2 linked regions of the Lepisosteus oculatus genome follow. The protein of the gene in region 2 interacts with the protein of the main gene of each other region in a pairwise test. Links are inferred from orthologs where the notes say so. Each region holds a gene or a part of one and is shown on either strand. Other genes may lie near its edges.

Evidence for each region.
Region 1: the proteins of sh3bp5a (region 2) and son of sevenless homolog 1 interact in a two-hybrid assay, tested with the Homo sapiens proteins (2 studies listed by BioGRID and IntAct). The link is inferred for Lepisosteus oculatus from reciprocal best matches to the Homo sapiens genes SH3BP5 and SOS1.

Annotation. Positions count from the first base shown.
Region 1 is NC_090712.1:4,595,711-4,603,640, reverse strand, and holds the start of son of sevenless homolog 1, read right to left. Parts: upstream 3,004-7,930; 5' UTR 2,754-3,003; exon of another isoform or gene 2,547-2,753; intron 2,453-2,546; exon of another isoform or gene 2,110-2,452; 5' UTR 2,051-2,109; coding exon 1,964-2,050; intron 1-1,963. Other genes in the region: retinol dehydrogenase 13, read left to right, coding at 4,337-4,401, 5,777-5,895, 6,399-6,554.
Region 2 is NC_090705.1:41,677,985-41,685,627, reverse strand, and holds the start of sh3bp5a (SH3 domain-binding protein 5), read right to left. Parts: upstream 3,071-7,643; 5' UTR 2,938-3,070; intron 2,663-2,937; exon of another isoform or gene 2,511-2,662; intron 2,501-2,510; exon of another isoform or gene 2,097-2,500; intron 1,910-2,096; exon of another isoform or gene 1,878-1,909; 5' UTR 1,772-1,877; coding exon 1,658-1,771; intron 10-1,657; coding exon 1-9. Other genes in the region: tRNA N(3)-methylcytidine methyltransferase METTL6, read right to left, coding at 6,250-6,389, 6,678-6,819, 7,100-7,270. UniProt on the Homo sapiens protein: Functions as a guanine nucleotide exchange factor (GEF) with specificity for RAB11A and RAB25. Inhibits the auto- and transphosphorylation activity of BTK. Plays a negative regulatory role in BTK-related cytoplasmic signaling in B-cells.

The DNA of each region.
Region 1 (7,930 bases), on a different chromosome or scaffold from region 2:
TAGTCCCTTTTCTCTACTCAATAAGAGCTCCCTTTCACTTGCCTGTACATTTGGAAGACCAATTCCGAGTGAGCTCATGAGCTGAGGAGCAAGGCACGTGCTGTCTCCCACACCCACATCACTTATTCCCAGATAAGTGACGCCCTACTCACTTCTGCATTTGGAATGCCATCTGGCTTTTGGATTTTCAATCAATTCACAAAGCTGTAACAATCTATTAGTACCATGTAACAAACGCTACAAAGTAATTACGTACTTCAAGAGAACACATTTCAGGCTTTTCCCCATTCCAATCGATTACAGGGCTACAGAGAACGTGACAGTGGGAAGTGGGAGTAAACTAGAAAACCAGAAGAAAATCCTTACAAGCTAGATAAGAGCATGCAGACTCCACACAGACAGATGCCCAATCCCAGGTCCTGGAGCTGTGAGGAAGCAGCACTAACTGCCATGCAACTGTGCTACCCCTGCATGCTTATTTATGGCATTGGGAAATCTATACATATTGTTTTGAAACTTGATTTAATGTTGCCTAATCCAATTAAATGGACTGCTTGTAACACTTACAATTGCACAATAGACTGAGGCTGTATATACACACACCAGAAAAAGGAAAGGTTCAGAAACAAGATGCAATTTGATGAGCCCTGTGAGGGGAATCAATTAGAAATGAAAGCATTCACTCTGATAACAACATGAAACTGCATATTACTTCCCTATTTATTTGCAATATTGTGCAAATAAAACAGATGCCCATAATGCTAGTCCTATATTTATCTCTTAAAACTGAATGCAAATGACAATGCATGCATACACTAAAAAATACTAATTTTAGATAAGAATAATTCACAGACAAACTTCCTATTAAACAAACTAGGTTTGTTAGTAAAATGCATGCTAAATCCCCAGCTTACAATTACACACAAAACATGCTGCGACCCTGAAGTTATACCCAAAGGTTACTGCCCTTAGAAAAACAGTCTCGTGTAGTAGTTAAAATAACACCTAAGCATATTTTCCTCAAACCTATAAACCAATTGTCACAAAATTAATAAGCAAAATCACTGAGTCAAACAGACAGCTTCTATATCATAAGAATGGTATTATTTTAAAATGATCTAAAGTGCACAAAACCTGAACTGCACAGATTGATATAACCTGCCCATAAGTACTACACATCCCCTTGGTATATATGCTCAATATATCTAATAGAATGATAATCTTAGAAATTGACTCCTCAACAAACCTAAAAATTCCCGGAAAACTTTTAAGTTGAATTGGTCTGTTACATAAACAAAGAAAAATCAGAAATGTTCTATTACAAAGGTTCAGATGATCAGGTTCAGTTGTTTCAGCAGGAGACCCTACAGTGACAATAAACCACCAGCGCACCATCAGCTGACTGTTACAACAGTGACAACACGGGACTTCTGTAAACGGCCATACACGGGCCTTGCTGCAAGCATGCAAGTAATGTACCACAGAACGAAGCGCTGACGGTAAGCTTCTCAGTGGGAATGACCGCAGCCTTGTGTCAGTGCGATCACAGGAAATGCGGCCACAAAACACACACTTCCCACCCGAGGTGACAGCACGCCTGTCCCTGGGCGATATATTTATCAACACAGCTGGCTGGAGCAGCACCTCAGCGGGCCGAGCCCGAGGCGAGTGGACAGCCAAGCCGGTGACGGGTCCGGGCTCGGCTCGCCGGTCAGGCCAAGCTGTCCCTCCAGACCCTGCAAGGCGACCGAAGGCCGCTTAATAATATTGGATGAGCGGCGTTCCCCCGGCCCCATTTCTGTGATCCGGCCATCGTCGGCGAGAGATGATTTAGCATTGCTCACGGCAACGCCAGCCTCACCTCCGACCCGCACTGACAGGACCACATCGCGGGCGGCTCCGACGGCCGCTTCACTACACGCCCCACACGCCCCACTCTGGATCCCCACAGCCCCCGGCTTACCTTATTCAGGGAGGGCACCAGCAACCCCCGCCATTTCGGCGCGTTGTCGTCGCTGAAGAAGTCGTACTGGAGTTGGGGCGCTTGCATGGCTGGTGCTCTCTTCACAGGCTGTAGCGGAGCCAGAGCGCTGCTGCTTTTCCCTGTCGCTTCTCACATCAAAACGGGAGGGAGGAGGAGGAGAGGGAGCCCAGGGGTGGGGAGGGGGGGGGGGGTGTTGGTTGGTTCGGTTGGTTATAGCGTGGAGGAGCAAAAAAATAATAAAAAATCTAAAAGCAAAAAGCCGTCGCAGTCAACAGTGTCGGAGAGCGGGCGGGCGGCGCGCGGTGAGCTAGGACGTCGCTCCCGCACGCATCCCAGCTCGCGGCGGCGATCCCCGGCCGCGTGCAGATGTTCGAGCGCTGCCCCGCGCCGCTGGGCGGTTAACGGACACTGCCCGCCGGGTCCGCCTTCGCACAGGCTCCGCAAGAGCACGGCTATGAACTATGTACACTGACGACAACAACAACAACAACAACAATAATAATAATAATAATAAAGATCCCCTTCCCCGCCCCCCCCCACACGCACACCTCCCCTCCCGAACCTGTTTTCACTCCTCTCGTAGAAATCCGCAAAACAAAACTCGAAATCTGTCACCGCCAACCGAGCGGCGCCTCAGTAGGCGACGCTCCTTTCAGACGGCCGGTGGGAGCAAATCCTCCTCGGTTTGGGGGAAAAAACCCTCTTCTGTACATAATCGCCCATTTTCTCCGAATCTTCTCTCCAGCAGAAGGAAGGGAGGGAGGCTCACCTTGTAATCCTCCATGAACTTAACGTTAGTATTTTCATTATCTGGTGGGTGTCTCCCGGCCAGACGGTTTTCTCTGTGGGGGGTGGAGGCTAACCTGAGTCCCCGTGCCGCAGCCCCCTTTAATTTCAGTATCTTTCGCCCAAAGTGGTTAATTCGGACGATTGTTATGGCTCGGGTGCAGTTGTAGCTGGAACAAGGAAGGAGCATGCGCACTGGATGCCTTCTGCGTTGTCTTCCCCTCACTCCCCCCTCCCCCACACGGAATGAGAGCTGGGGGAGGTGAAAGGGCGCAGGCAGGAGCAATGGAGCGCCGGGAAATCGAGTCCCTGCTCCTGCGAGGTGCCGAGACAGCGCCCCCAGCCGTGAACAGCCGAGTACCGTACATCCCCTGGTAGAGGTCAAGAGGAGCAGCTCTTGAAACACAAATGTACTAAATATTTTGTTTTTGTATTATAACTCAATGGGTCGGTATTGTCTATTTTAGCTGTGTTTGATTACATTTATTCTACTGCTTCAGATGACTTCGGAGAAATTCTCTGATTTCTCTCAACTTCAGAATAAATGAATGTAGTTTTAGTTTTAGCAAACTTTATTATTGTTACATCTTTACTGACACCTATGAAAATATACAAAAATAATTCCTTACACTTATATAGTACTTTTCTGGACACTCTTATCAATGAGTAGAGTACTTTACAGGTAATGGGGACTCCCCTCCACCAACACCAGTGTGCAGCCCCACCTGTATGATGCGATGGCAGCTATAGTGCACCTGTACGCTCTCCACACACCAGCCTTCAGTGGGGAGGAGAACAGTGTGATGAAGCCAGTTCAGAGATGGGGTTTATTAGGAGGCCATGACTCCTAATGGGGGAATTTGGGCCAGGATGCTGGGGTAACAACCCTACTCTTTTCAAGAAATGCCCTGGGATTTTTAATGACCACAGACAGTCAGGATCTCAGTTTTAAGTCTCAGCCAAAGGACAGCACCTTTTTACAGTATAGTGTCCCTGTCACTATACTGGGGCATTAGGACCCTCACAGACTGCAGGGTGAGCGCCCCCTGCTGGCCCCACTAACACCTCTTCCAGCAGCAGCCTTAGCTTTCCCAAGAGGTCTCCCAGCCAGGTACACTCCTGCTAAACTCCAGTGGGCAGCCAGCTGTGATATGGCTGTTGGCTATATATTTATTATTATTTAATTAAATGTATTATTATTATTATTTAAGTCATTTCATTATGACGCTTATGTGTAGTTATATATAAATCAGCGTTTCTTAATATTTTTAAAACTGGACATTTTACCTACAGTACGTAGCTCACCCTCAAAACAGTACATTTTACTCTCTTCTTTGAACTACAACTCCCATGAGCGCTTTCGCGTGTGTCTTTGTTTATGAAATCTACTTTTACTTGATTGGTCAGGTTGCACAGGTCTTGATTGCCAATTGGACGCTTATGAGCGTCAATCACTTTTGCGTTTAATTGTACACGAGGAAACAAGGAAGACCCAGATTAGATTTTAATCTCTGCGGGAACGGGGGCGTCCTGCTTGTGCATTTAGTTATTTTTACATCTTTAATAATGAATAAGTACATTTTACCTGTGTCTGTAATGGGGACTGTAATTGGTAGCGCTGTTCTGATAAAGTAAGTAGCAGATCGTGGAGCTGCGTGCAGTGAGCACATTCAAGATGCTGTTGTATCGTACTCTGCAGAAAATTGCCATTCGTTGTTTCTGTTTACATTCGCTCTTTGAAATGATAATAATGGCCGGTATTATCGATTTGCAGCGTGTTGGTGCCCACTGTGAAACCGTAACGCGTCCGTAAAGCCATGTGTACGATGGAGGCGTCCAGCGGTTTTTACCTGCATTAGAAATGAACTCGTGAGTCGAATGCCCGTGTCGCTGTCTATCCTTCATAGATGAACTGTCACTGCTCGTGCGTTTGCATAGATACCCACTTATCCTGCCATTCCCGATCTTGTGTGTACTTTTGAAAAACCTCAGCAGAAAGTCTCAAGTATCCCAAGGTCACGCAGCCCTGACATGGTTTCGGTAACGTGGGCGTGTGTGTGGTGTACGTAGCCCCGTATATAGTTAGCTGAAGACAGATTCGAAGAACGTTCAGTTTTAGAATTGATGTTGGTATAAAGATCTGTCTCCCCATCAGTCAAATGCATCCCCCCCCACCCTTAAAGTCCAGCTGTTATCGTGAGCGTTTTATCGTGGCTTGTTTTCAGAAAGCGAAACGTTTTTAAACGTGGCATGGCTTCATGCTTTGACTCAAAGGTGGTGGTGGGGGGTGATGTCAAACCTGTCCAAAATAAATGCAGCACTCTTCTGTTATTCTCAGTGGTGAGCATGCTCACTGAAAACATCCTCACGTTAAGAAAGAAACGCGTTGTTTTAAACGGTGCAAGGGAAAGTCATTCACAGGAGGCCAAGAGTTGCACTGAAAGGGCCTTTCATCTGCAGTTTTGATGGGACACCTGAGGATTGCTGTGTTAAATCCCTCACTGTACCATAATGCCCACGCACAGTTCCTACCTGAGCCTAGAGCTCCCCGTGGCAGAGCCTGTCCTTGTTTCTGTAGCGGTGAGCAGACCGGCAGGGAGTGATTCTCCTCTGGATGGAACGCCGATATAGTGCAGCTTTCCCACATCACAGCTTGTACCTGTTTGTCCAACACAGAGGACTGGAGCAGCTGGACTGAGGTGTAGAAACAGCAGTCTCCGCAGCAGTGTTGCCGTGTTACAAAGATGGTAAATTGACGCCCAACAGGAACTTGCATTTTAAATTGGAGGGGTGCAGAGAGGCTAGGGTTCTGGCCTCTTGTCCTTTGGTTGTGGGTTCGAGTCCCCACCTTGCAGCTCTTCATACTCCTGAACAAGACTCTTTGCGCACAATCGCCCAGTCCTCTTAGCTGTGTTAAGGTGTACCAGCAGGGCTGTGCTCTAGTGATGGAGCGGGTGTAGTCTGCTGAACCAAGCAGAACCTCCAGATTTCTTTGTCTTTTTCTAGGGACTACTTTAGCGGGGGTGTTTGTCCCAGTAAAGCGAAGATCACTGGCAAGACGGTCATCATTACTGGAGCAAACACAGGCATAGGAAAAGAGACTGCCAGGGATCTGGCCAGGAGAGGTGAGGAATCCTTCATCCTGGGACGTGCCGTAAAAACAAACTATGAAGTAGCATGGGAAAGTCTCGGTTTCTCTCTGGTATTTGTGGCAATGAAAATCAATCCTGGCACATTCCAAAACCAAAAAACATCTCCTCTTTCCTTAGAGTCTGGTGTTCATTCACTGCACCATATGAAAATGCTAAGCATGTCGACCCCTGTGAATTGAATGTATTAGCCTGAAGTACAGCAGTCGGTCTGAGGAAGAAAACCAAGGAAGTTGTTAGTATGATCTTTTAACTGTAGTGACCATAAGAAACTGCAGGGTGACGTTTTAGACTTGGTTCTTTACAAACAGTTTACAGCGCTTTTTGTAGCAAGTATGGAAAAGGGGAAACCGCAATAAAGCGTTTTAAGATGTTTACAACCGAGACAACAACATTGAAACGATGTATTTGAGAAGCAGTCCCCTTTGTCTGCATTCCCTCTCGTTGTGCTAAACGTTTTCAGAATTCTTTCCTGAAAGGAGGCCGTATCATCCTGGGGTGCCGGGACATGGAGAAGTGTGAGGAGGCGGCCAGAGAAATCCGAGGGGACACTTTGAATCGGAACGTCCACGCCCGGCATGTGGACCTGGCCTCCCTGAAGTCCATCAGGGAATTTGTACAGAAGATCAATCAGGGTAGGAATCTGATTTCAACATTGTACTGCTGACTGCAGCTCTGATCACGTGGATGGTACAGAGGCTCCGAGCTGCGGATTGAGTTGTTCCCTGTGCTGTCTACAGGAAGCAGGCTCTGCATCCAGCAACTCGGAAATCTGGACCTGAAACACCAGGTCCCTCTGAAATCTGAATTCTTCAGGGCTTGTGCCTCTTGTGTGTCCTTCCTCAATACACGATGCTAGCAGTTGTCTATCTTATCAGCCAGCGGCTATATCACCCTGCAACTCACAACTGGCGACCCCACTGAAGCTCAGCAGGTGTGAGCCTGGTCAGTACCTGGATGTGAGACCTCCTGGGAAAAACTAAGGCTGCTGCTGGAAGAGGTGTTAGTGGGGCCAGTAGGGGTCTGTGTGGGCCCTAATGCCCTGGTATATTGACGGGGACACTATACTGTAAAAAGGCGCCGTCCTTCAGATGAGACATAAAACCAAGGTCCTGACTCCCTAAGAGTATACAATTTCTTGCATTAGGAATTTGTCTTTTTTTGCATACTCCAATTTGCTCTCCATGAGACACAGACAGAGACAAGCTTGGGGTCAGAGCGCAGGGTCAGCCATTGTACAGCTCCCCTGGAGCAGTTGGAGTTAAGGGCCTTGCTCAGGAGCCCAACGGAGTAGGATTTGAACCTGCAACCTTCCAGCCACAGGCGCAGATCCTTAGCCACAGAGCCACTGCTGGCTAGGTAGCTTGTTCCAGACTCCCTGCACTTGTAAGAAATGTCATTAAAAATCCCAGGGCGTTTCTTGAAATGAGTAGGGGTGTTATCCTGGTCTCCTGGCCAAATTTTCCATTGCCCTTTACCAATCAGGGCCTCCTGGTAATCCCCATCTCTGAACTGGCTTCATTACTCTGCTCTCCTCCCCACTGAGAGCTGGTGTGTGGTGAGCGTACTGGCGCACTATGGCTGCTGTTGCATCATCCAGGTGGGGCTGCACACTGCTGGTGGTGGAGGGGAATCCCCATTACCTGTAAAGCACTTTGAGTGGAGTGTCCAGAAGAGTGCTATATAAATATAAGGAATTATTATCAGTTTTTAAAAGCTAGTGTATTCAAACTGAGTCTCTCACAGAAGTGCAAGCAGTGACAGAGTCCATGGAACACTTCATAATTGTAAAGTAATATATTATTGTTTATTTAAATGTCACAATTCTAGTAAGGGAATGAGATCTCTAAAGGGCAAAATGCTCATTTATGGACTGTGGGAAAGACAGCTTGCAGAGGGGTAAATTACGAGATGAATATGGGACAGATGAATCTTGTCCCTAAAGGGAAATTCGAGATGTGGGTCAACACTGCCAACTGTTGTTGAGTCAGAAGTGTATCTGATGGGTTTC
Region 2 (7,643 bases):
GAGTTCACCCTGTTGAGGGGTAGGGGAAAGAGAGAAGACATCATTAACCGTGGAAAGGAAACAAGACGCATACGGAGCTTGTTAAATCTGGCAAAGAAAGCTTTGATTAAACATTTTCCCAGAGACACAGTGTAAAACTGGCTTAAAAAAAAAACAAAACGCCATTTCCTACCAGCTGTTACTACCCGTCCGCCACTGCAAGACTTACAGGCAAGGAAGGAAAAGCAGTCGCTGTTTAATTTCATTAGTAATGTTCATTAAGACCTGTATGTCAGCTACAAAACACAAACTTGAGCACGGAGCAGCTGTCACTAAAAACTATGAATTCAATAACATGAAAATCCTCACTTTAAAAAGATGTCTTTTTTTTTCGCCGTTTTCCTTGCACCAAAGACCAGCAGATCTATAAAATATTCACGGAGCTAAAACCCGCACTAGAAACATTTGAATAAAACGCGTTCGGACACAAGAGTGACAGATTCACAGTTTAGTTGTCTTAATGCAGCGCTAACTCCACTGTGTTCTTTCTTCAGCTCCATTGCTGGAGATGGTAATTAAGCAATTACAACGCCCCAAAGACACCATATCATAAGAGTACAGCCAGCACTCCTCTTAAAAAGAGAGCTCATCCCACCGACAGCTCCAAATGAAAGAATATTTCATGCTTCTGTGGGCAGATGTAAAACAAATGTGAGAACTCTGAAAGGTACACATATTACAGAAAAGAGAAGGACGGTATAGCAGAATTGGTTAGAAAAGAAAGAGCAGTTAAAGAAATGCCCAGTTACTCCAACAATGTAATGATTAATTCAAAGCACAAAGCGTTGACTGACACTGGTCAGTATGAATTGACAACACACTGCAAGCAGCATTCTTTCCTGTTCTTATCAATTACATGAACTGGATGACAAAAGCAATAAAAAGGCTCACAACCCTAGCAAGCATAAAAACAACGACCTCTCTAGCATGTACGCGTAATCCAGTCTGCTTGCATACTTTTGTTGGCGTCTGTCCGTTAACAAAGAGCAGAAAAACGGCTTGAGTTGACAGACACTGATAGCATCAGTACAGTAATTAAGCGCGGCTGCAAGATTAATTCCGCTAAATCAAATGTAGTACTATTGAGGACCATTACGGTGCAAAAACGGAGCTTCTGTAGAAGGGCTAATGACATGGAATTAAAAATGATTCCCTTTATCTCATCAAGATCGTAGGGTTAGTGTTAAGGGCCTACTGTTATAATAAAAAAAAGACTTTGTTTTATTCTCGTTTATTAGGAATAGATCGACTCAAACGTGGCGATACATCCTAGTCCATGACAACATTTGGCCGATAAGACCGACTCTGCTCCGCGGCCACGGCGCACTGACTGCGCCCGGAGACAGCGAAGCTCCGCGCCGGGGAGATGCTGTTCGGGCACAGGGAGGCTGAAAGACTCTTGACGGGGCAACACAGACCCGCCACCAGTCAGTTGTCAGCCACATTACAGCCCCGCAAGGCACAAACCTGAGCCCACACGGGCAACAGGATACACACGCCACCGCCAATCCATACAGTGCGTCCACGTCTTCAGAGCAGGTCAGCGCAACACAACGACGCAAAAAAAAAAAACACACCACCAAACTCGGGAATATATATATATATTGCATCCGCGTACCTGAATTCTAGGGTCGACTTCTTCTTCTTCTGCTGCTGCTTCCTCCTCTTCTTCTTCTTCATCCGGCGACTCAATCTCTTCGTCTGATTTGGGTCCCTTTTCCACGCTGTCCATTTTGCTGAATGCAGTAATGTCTTTTCCCTTTCCCCAGGTCGGAAACTGGGGAGGCTGAGGTCGTTCTCCAAGCGCCGCCGCGACCACTCTGGTTCCCTCCACACCACTTCAGCAATAAGGCATATGGGGAAAAGATATCTTTAAACACAAACGCAAGGAGTTAAGGATTAGCTGAGGTCTGCAACATTCAAAACCCTCAAGGAAGCTGAAACACAGGAGGTGCCCCTTTCTCCGGACAAACTGGCTTGAAATAAGAACCTGAGCGCTCCGCCTATCCCCGCCCCCCTTTCCAGATTTTGCTAGGCAATCCCCGAGATGGACGTACAGAAATATTGTAATTTTCCTGCCGGGCTCTTATTTGGCTCCGCGAATCGAAGGGAACGGCGCACGACGCAGGAAGCAAGCCGCCGTCCTCCGTGTCATCTGCGGCCCCGCACGGTGTGGCGACGCCCGCTGCGCTCCGACTTGATCCAGAAGGCTTCCCCTCTCGTCTCCGGATCCTTCTGCCGGCCCCCCCCTCCCTCCAAGCACACAAAAGCGATGGCGATGAAATCGGAAAAAAACGATTAACCCTTTCGACCGGGCCGGCCGCCTATTGTAATTAATGGATGTCCTCCCTGTTTTGCTATGCTGTTAATAATCGGATCGCGCACTCCTCTCCGTTTACATCTCAGCGCAAATCACATGGCAATAAACTGCTATATTAAGCACGCAGAGGTCCCAACTAATCCTGCAGTACCTGTCTTCCGCTCTCTTGAGTTATAGTACACACTGCAGTAATTACAGCAGTCATGTCCTGTAATCTCACTGACAGGGGGGTTACTAAACCCCACGGATAGGAGAGAGTTGAAGCCGACGTTCCCCAAGTTTTCTCCAGAGGAAAAGAGTGGTCTGTCTCTCCCTAGCGGTCGGTAGACGGAGCACATCTGAAACCTAAATTAAGCAATGACGGAAGGGCTTTATTGTGAACTGGCGTTGCGCAATTGCTCTGTAATGCTGTTGGTCTTATACTGTACACCGGTATAGGAAAAAATGAAAAGCTGAGTATAGAAAAGAAGAGTGTATAAAACAGCAGCCTCCTCCTGATTGCTGTTATTGCTCTATTCAGTTTGTTTTATTTTGGTCTCGTATCTCTGGTGTGTAGCAAACATAATGATATAAATTACCTGAAGAAGGCTTCTCAGCCGAAACGTTGTGTTTTCTCTCTTCCCTTTTCAGCATGGAATAAACCTGTTACTTGTTCCTTGGCAGACTACGCACGCTGACGCAGCTCCCCATCTGAACTGATCATATAAATGACTCCCTGAACTCTGAATTCAATACTGTTAAGTCATGACGTTCAACATACTGGATGGGAGAGTTTGTTTACAATCTCTGGTGCTGTCCTGAAGAGGTTCCGGTCATACCCTGCCTCTTGTTACACGGTGATCTTCTTGTTTCTCTTGGGTTTACTTCTGAGGCTGTTAGGTCTGGCGCTTCACAGGGTTCAACACCAGGCGCTCTGCTATTTCAGTACTTATTCGGTATTATTTGCTATTCAGTATTAACCTGTACATTACAGTTTCTCCTTGGTGCAATACTAAAATTACGTTGTCAGAATTGCATTTCTATGAAGATGACAGTCAAATTAATGTCCACATTAAAGCCAAAATAGTTGTTTCAGCACTCTACTCATTTCTGGTGCCAATTTGCTGTTACAACTGCCATATTGCTCTCTCTTATCTACTAACCCCACTGTTACACACTCTCCTATCTACTAACCCCACGGTTACACACTCTCCTATCACTAACACCACTCTTATATGGCACAATATTCACACGTAATTCTGTATCTCTACCGTTCTGTGTTGTCAAGAGCGGTTCTGAAATAGGAGGCACACCAGGCCACATCATTAAAGACCCCTCTGGGAGCATTTGACCCACAGATCCTAGAGATAGGGGTAGGATTGTGATGAAAAAGTATGAAGTTTAAGCAGCTGTGGATAGCCGTAGAGAGCTTTTATCAGGCAAAAACAGAGAACTTTGGAAACCTGAAAAAGTCTGATCCGAATAGGTGGTTTTATTAAAATTGTGGGAGTACTGGTTAGAGCCCCTGGTTTGTAATTAGGAATTACATCCAGGAATTAAATCAAATCCCAGATGATGCACTGCTGTAATACAGTACAAAATACAATTTTTCAATTTTCCTCCAGGGCCACTGTGCTGTCAATTTATACCAAACATCTCTTCCTCTTAATAAGGCTCTTTTTGTTGTTGGGATTATTTGGTAACCAAGGAAACAATAATGGGCGTAATGTGTTCTTCATCCAAGGACAGGCAAAATGTTTTTTTATTTGGTGAGCTCTTAGATCAGTTACAAAAGCTGGGTACAGATTTCTGTGAATAGTGCTGGAATCCGCCACTGTCTACGCAGAAAACCCATGACCTCAGATTAATGTGTCATGATCATGGAGGCAACGCCTTCTCCCTGCAGCTGTGCCGTGAGCTTCTGGCGCAGAGAGACCTGCTTTAGTCAGCAGCTCCCTTGTTCACCACGAACTTCAAGCCCTGCTTGCACTGAGTGGTCCTGCTGCACACTTGGCTGGACCACACTTTTCTCCCCGACTAGACCCCAGACTTTCAGCTCAGCTCACACAGCCCGCAGCTACAACCTCTTTACCTGAGACGACAAATCTGAGGGCAGGACAAGGGCCAGACTGAAAGTTTGTGTACCTCTGCTGAAGGTCCCTAAAGTGGCAGCAAAGCAATTTGATTTGATGTCATACTGGACTTGTTCTCCAACAAATCCCGATACAACAGGATGTAAAGCATTCCAACTCCCCACCTCTTCCTTCCCTACTTTCCTACACGATCTACTGTACTTCCGGCATAAACGTACTTCAGTCTCCACCACAAGCTCACGTTCGATTTTCTGGTTGAATCTGTGAGCTGGATCAATTACTGTACACATCCGAAAACGGTCCATTCCCAATCACTTCCTATCCCTACAAAAAGTTCACCAATAATTTGCTTGTGTATGTAACAGAGTGTGTTGATTCTTGTGCCAACGGTAGGTAGGCAATTTCCATATTTGAGCTGCAGGGGCGCATCAGGGCGGAGCTCATCCTGGTTTCTGGAGGGTTAAGCAGAGTAGAGCAAGAGCAAGTGACATCCCCCAGGACGGGAGAGAAAATCAGGGATTACTCCCAGCAGTGCCAGTCCCCCATTTACACAGCTGGGCGGGCTGGAGCCACTGGGGTACAGTGCCTCTCTCAGGGGTACAGCAGCACTGTCTGCATGAGTACTGGCACTTACCCACTGGGCTTCCCACTCAGAGTCCAAGACAGCCATTCAAAATGAAGACTGAAACTGACAGGTTGTGTGGGGCTTCATTTCAACTTTAGACCATGGAAATGATTTTCTAAACTGGACTCATACAGTCAACCAGGCAACTAAAAACACATGTTTCAGCGTCTCCTGCCGCCTGGGAGTAATATGCCCTGCTCCTTCTCTCAGCTTTCATACTCCCGTCCTGTAATGCACATCCTCTAAAGGAATATCGAACTGGCCTTGCATCCGAAACCTGTCTGAACAGGAAGGACATAATCGAGGATGTGACATTTCACTGCGAGCAAGAGGCACCAGTGGTGCCAGACAGGACGACAGGACTAGACGCGTCCCAAAAAAAGCCCTATCCCGGGCTCTGGAGGCATGACAGCCAGACCACGAGTTACTGGGAAGGAAAACGCACATCACAAACACCACAGCTCGGGCACACAGAATTCCTTGTGGATATCACCAGGAAGGAAAAAGGTGTGTGCTGAGATTTAGAGTTCAAGGATGAGAATATATAAAGTACCTTTCTGCCTGGACAAAGATGACCCACACCTTGCCTTGTTTTCTGCAGATACTTGTAGCACATCAAATAACCTAAAAAATGCTAAAAACATCATTGAACATCAAAATTCGATATCGACAGAGCAGAGTTTGCTGGAGCAATCTGGACTCTAGGGATCTGAACCCCTGTCCCAGCCGTCAGGAGAACACAGTTCTAACCATTACTCCACACTGCATTCTTTTACAGCATCTGTGGAAACACCTTAGCCCTGTAATCTTCCAGACTGGCTCAACAGTGTGCTGGAAGATCCGTGAGATGTTTAATCCTCTTATCCTTGCTTTTTTTTTTATTTAACAAAAACAGTACAGTGGAAACACGATACACATGTTTCATTACAGGTCTTTGCATACACATCAAAAGATAATTTAAATAGAGAATTCTTCTTTCCGAGATAAAATCACTTGAGCTGTGAAAACCTTAAGGCTCCCTTCCACAAGCAGGTAAAGTGTTGTATTTAAAATGGACATGAAATCCTATGCTGGTCAGAAGAATGAGATCGGTTAGAATTCTGCCAAGAAATTCACAAATAAAATCCCTCCTGGGTTTTTTCAGATACAAAGTCTTTTCTTTCCGAGTAGCAGCATCACCATCAGGCTGTTTGTCAGAGTGGCTTCTTGAATTTGCCTTGAAGAAAAACTCTTGGGACACAAAGCCCCTCTCTCTTGTTGACAGTTTCTCTGAGGACGTACTCGTTCACCAGGGTCTCGTAACCCACCGCTGTAAACAGATCCTCCAGGAACTCTAGACAGAAAAGTACAAGGAACAAAATAAAAGGCAGGTTTTACACACTATAAAACATCACATATAGAGAAAGCCTTTCATTCTTTCTATTTTTATATAACTATGTATGTAGTAGTTATAGCTATACAGTACAGCAAATTTGTTTTGTGTTTATGTCTTTTTTGTATAAATCCTATCTTGCCCCTGCTTAGGCTTGGCTACTAAAATGTGTTTTAATTTTTTTTAGAGAACCTGAAGTTGAAAGGGTGACAGAACAGCATCGATGGCTTGAGAATGTCTGCTACTCACCTTTAGAAAAGAAGAACGATCTGGTACCATCTTGCCTCACATAGAAGTTCTCTCCAAGCTTGCTCCCGGATTTAAACCTCAACATGGCGTGATCGTGCAGTCCGTAGTCCCTGAACAAGACAGTGCCCCCTGGTTTCAAGACCTGCCCACCCCGATGAAGAAAAACAAAACAAAATATCATATTGTCTTACAGCGTGGAACTTTGACATTATAGAGGACTTTGTGTTGATGAGTGGCAAAAAGTCTTAGTTAAATACATCATGGTTCCATGCTGTAACACAATAAAACGTAAAAAAGTCCAAGGGGGGTGAATACTTTTGCAAGGCACTGTATATGGAGAAGATTTAATGGAGAAAGATTCTAGCTTGAGCCATTTAAACCTTCTTTTTCTTCACTGAGAGGAAGACCACTTCTGTACTTACTCTGTAGATGTTTTCAAGGGCCAGGCGCATTCTGTCTGGGTGTATAGCAGACAGCACGAATATGAGGGTGGCAGCATTCACACTTTCCAGTGGGATATTCTTTGACAACTCATCCTTGGTCAGGTCACACTGGAAAGCCTCGCATCTCTCGGCGTTGTACAAGGGGTTTTGCTGAATTAAAACAGTGGCATCAAACAGATACATTATAATAGACTAGAAAAACACGATCTCACACTAAGCCATATTTAATATATTCAAAGGAACAAGTTATAGGGGTGAGGAACACCCGAAGAACACCCAAATCCTTCCACCTGAAGAAGGCTCCACAGCCGAAACATTGTGTTTTCTTTCTTCTCCTTTCAGCATGGAATAAACCTATTACTTGTTCCTTTGCAGCCTACACATGCTGACGCAGCTCTCCACCTGAACTACTTTAAAACATTCAGATGGTTTACTGATAAACATTGTACATTATCATGCTTCAAAAGAGTCTGAGCACAATGGGAGTATAGTGCTTTTTATGATACATCATTTCAAAGTGCAT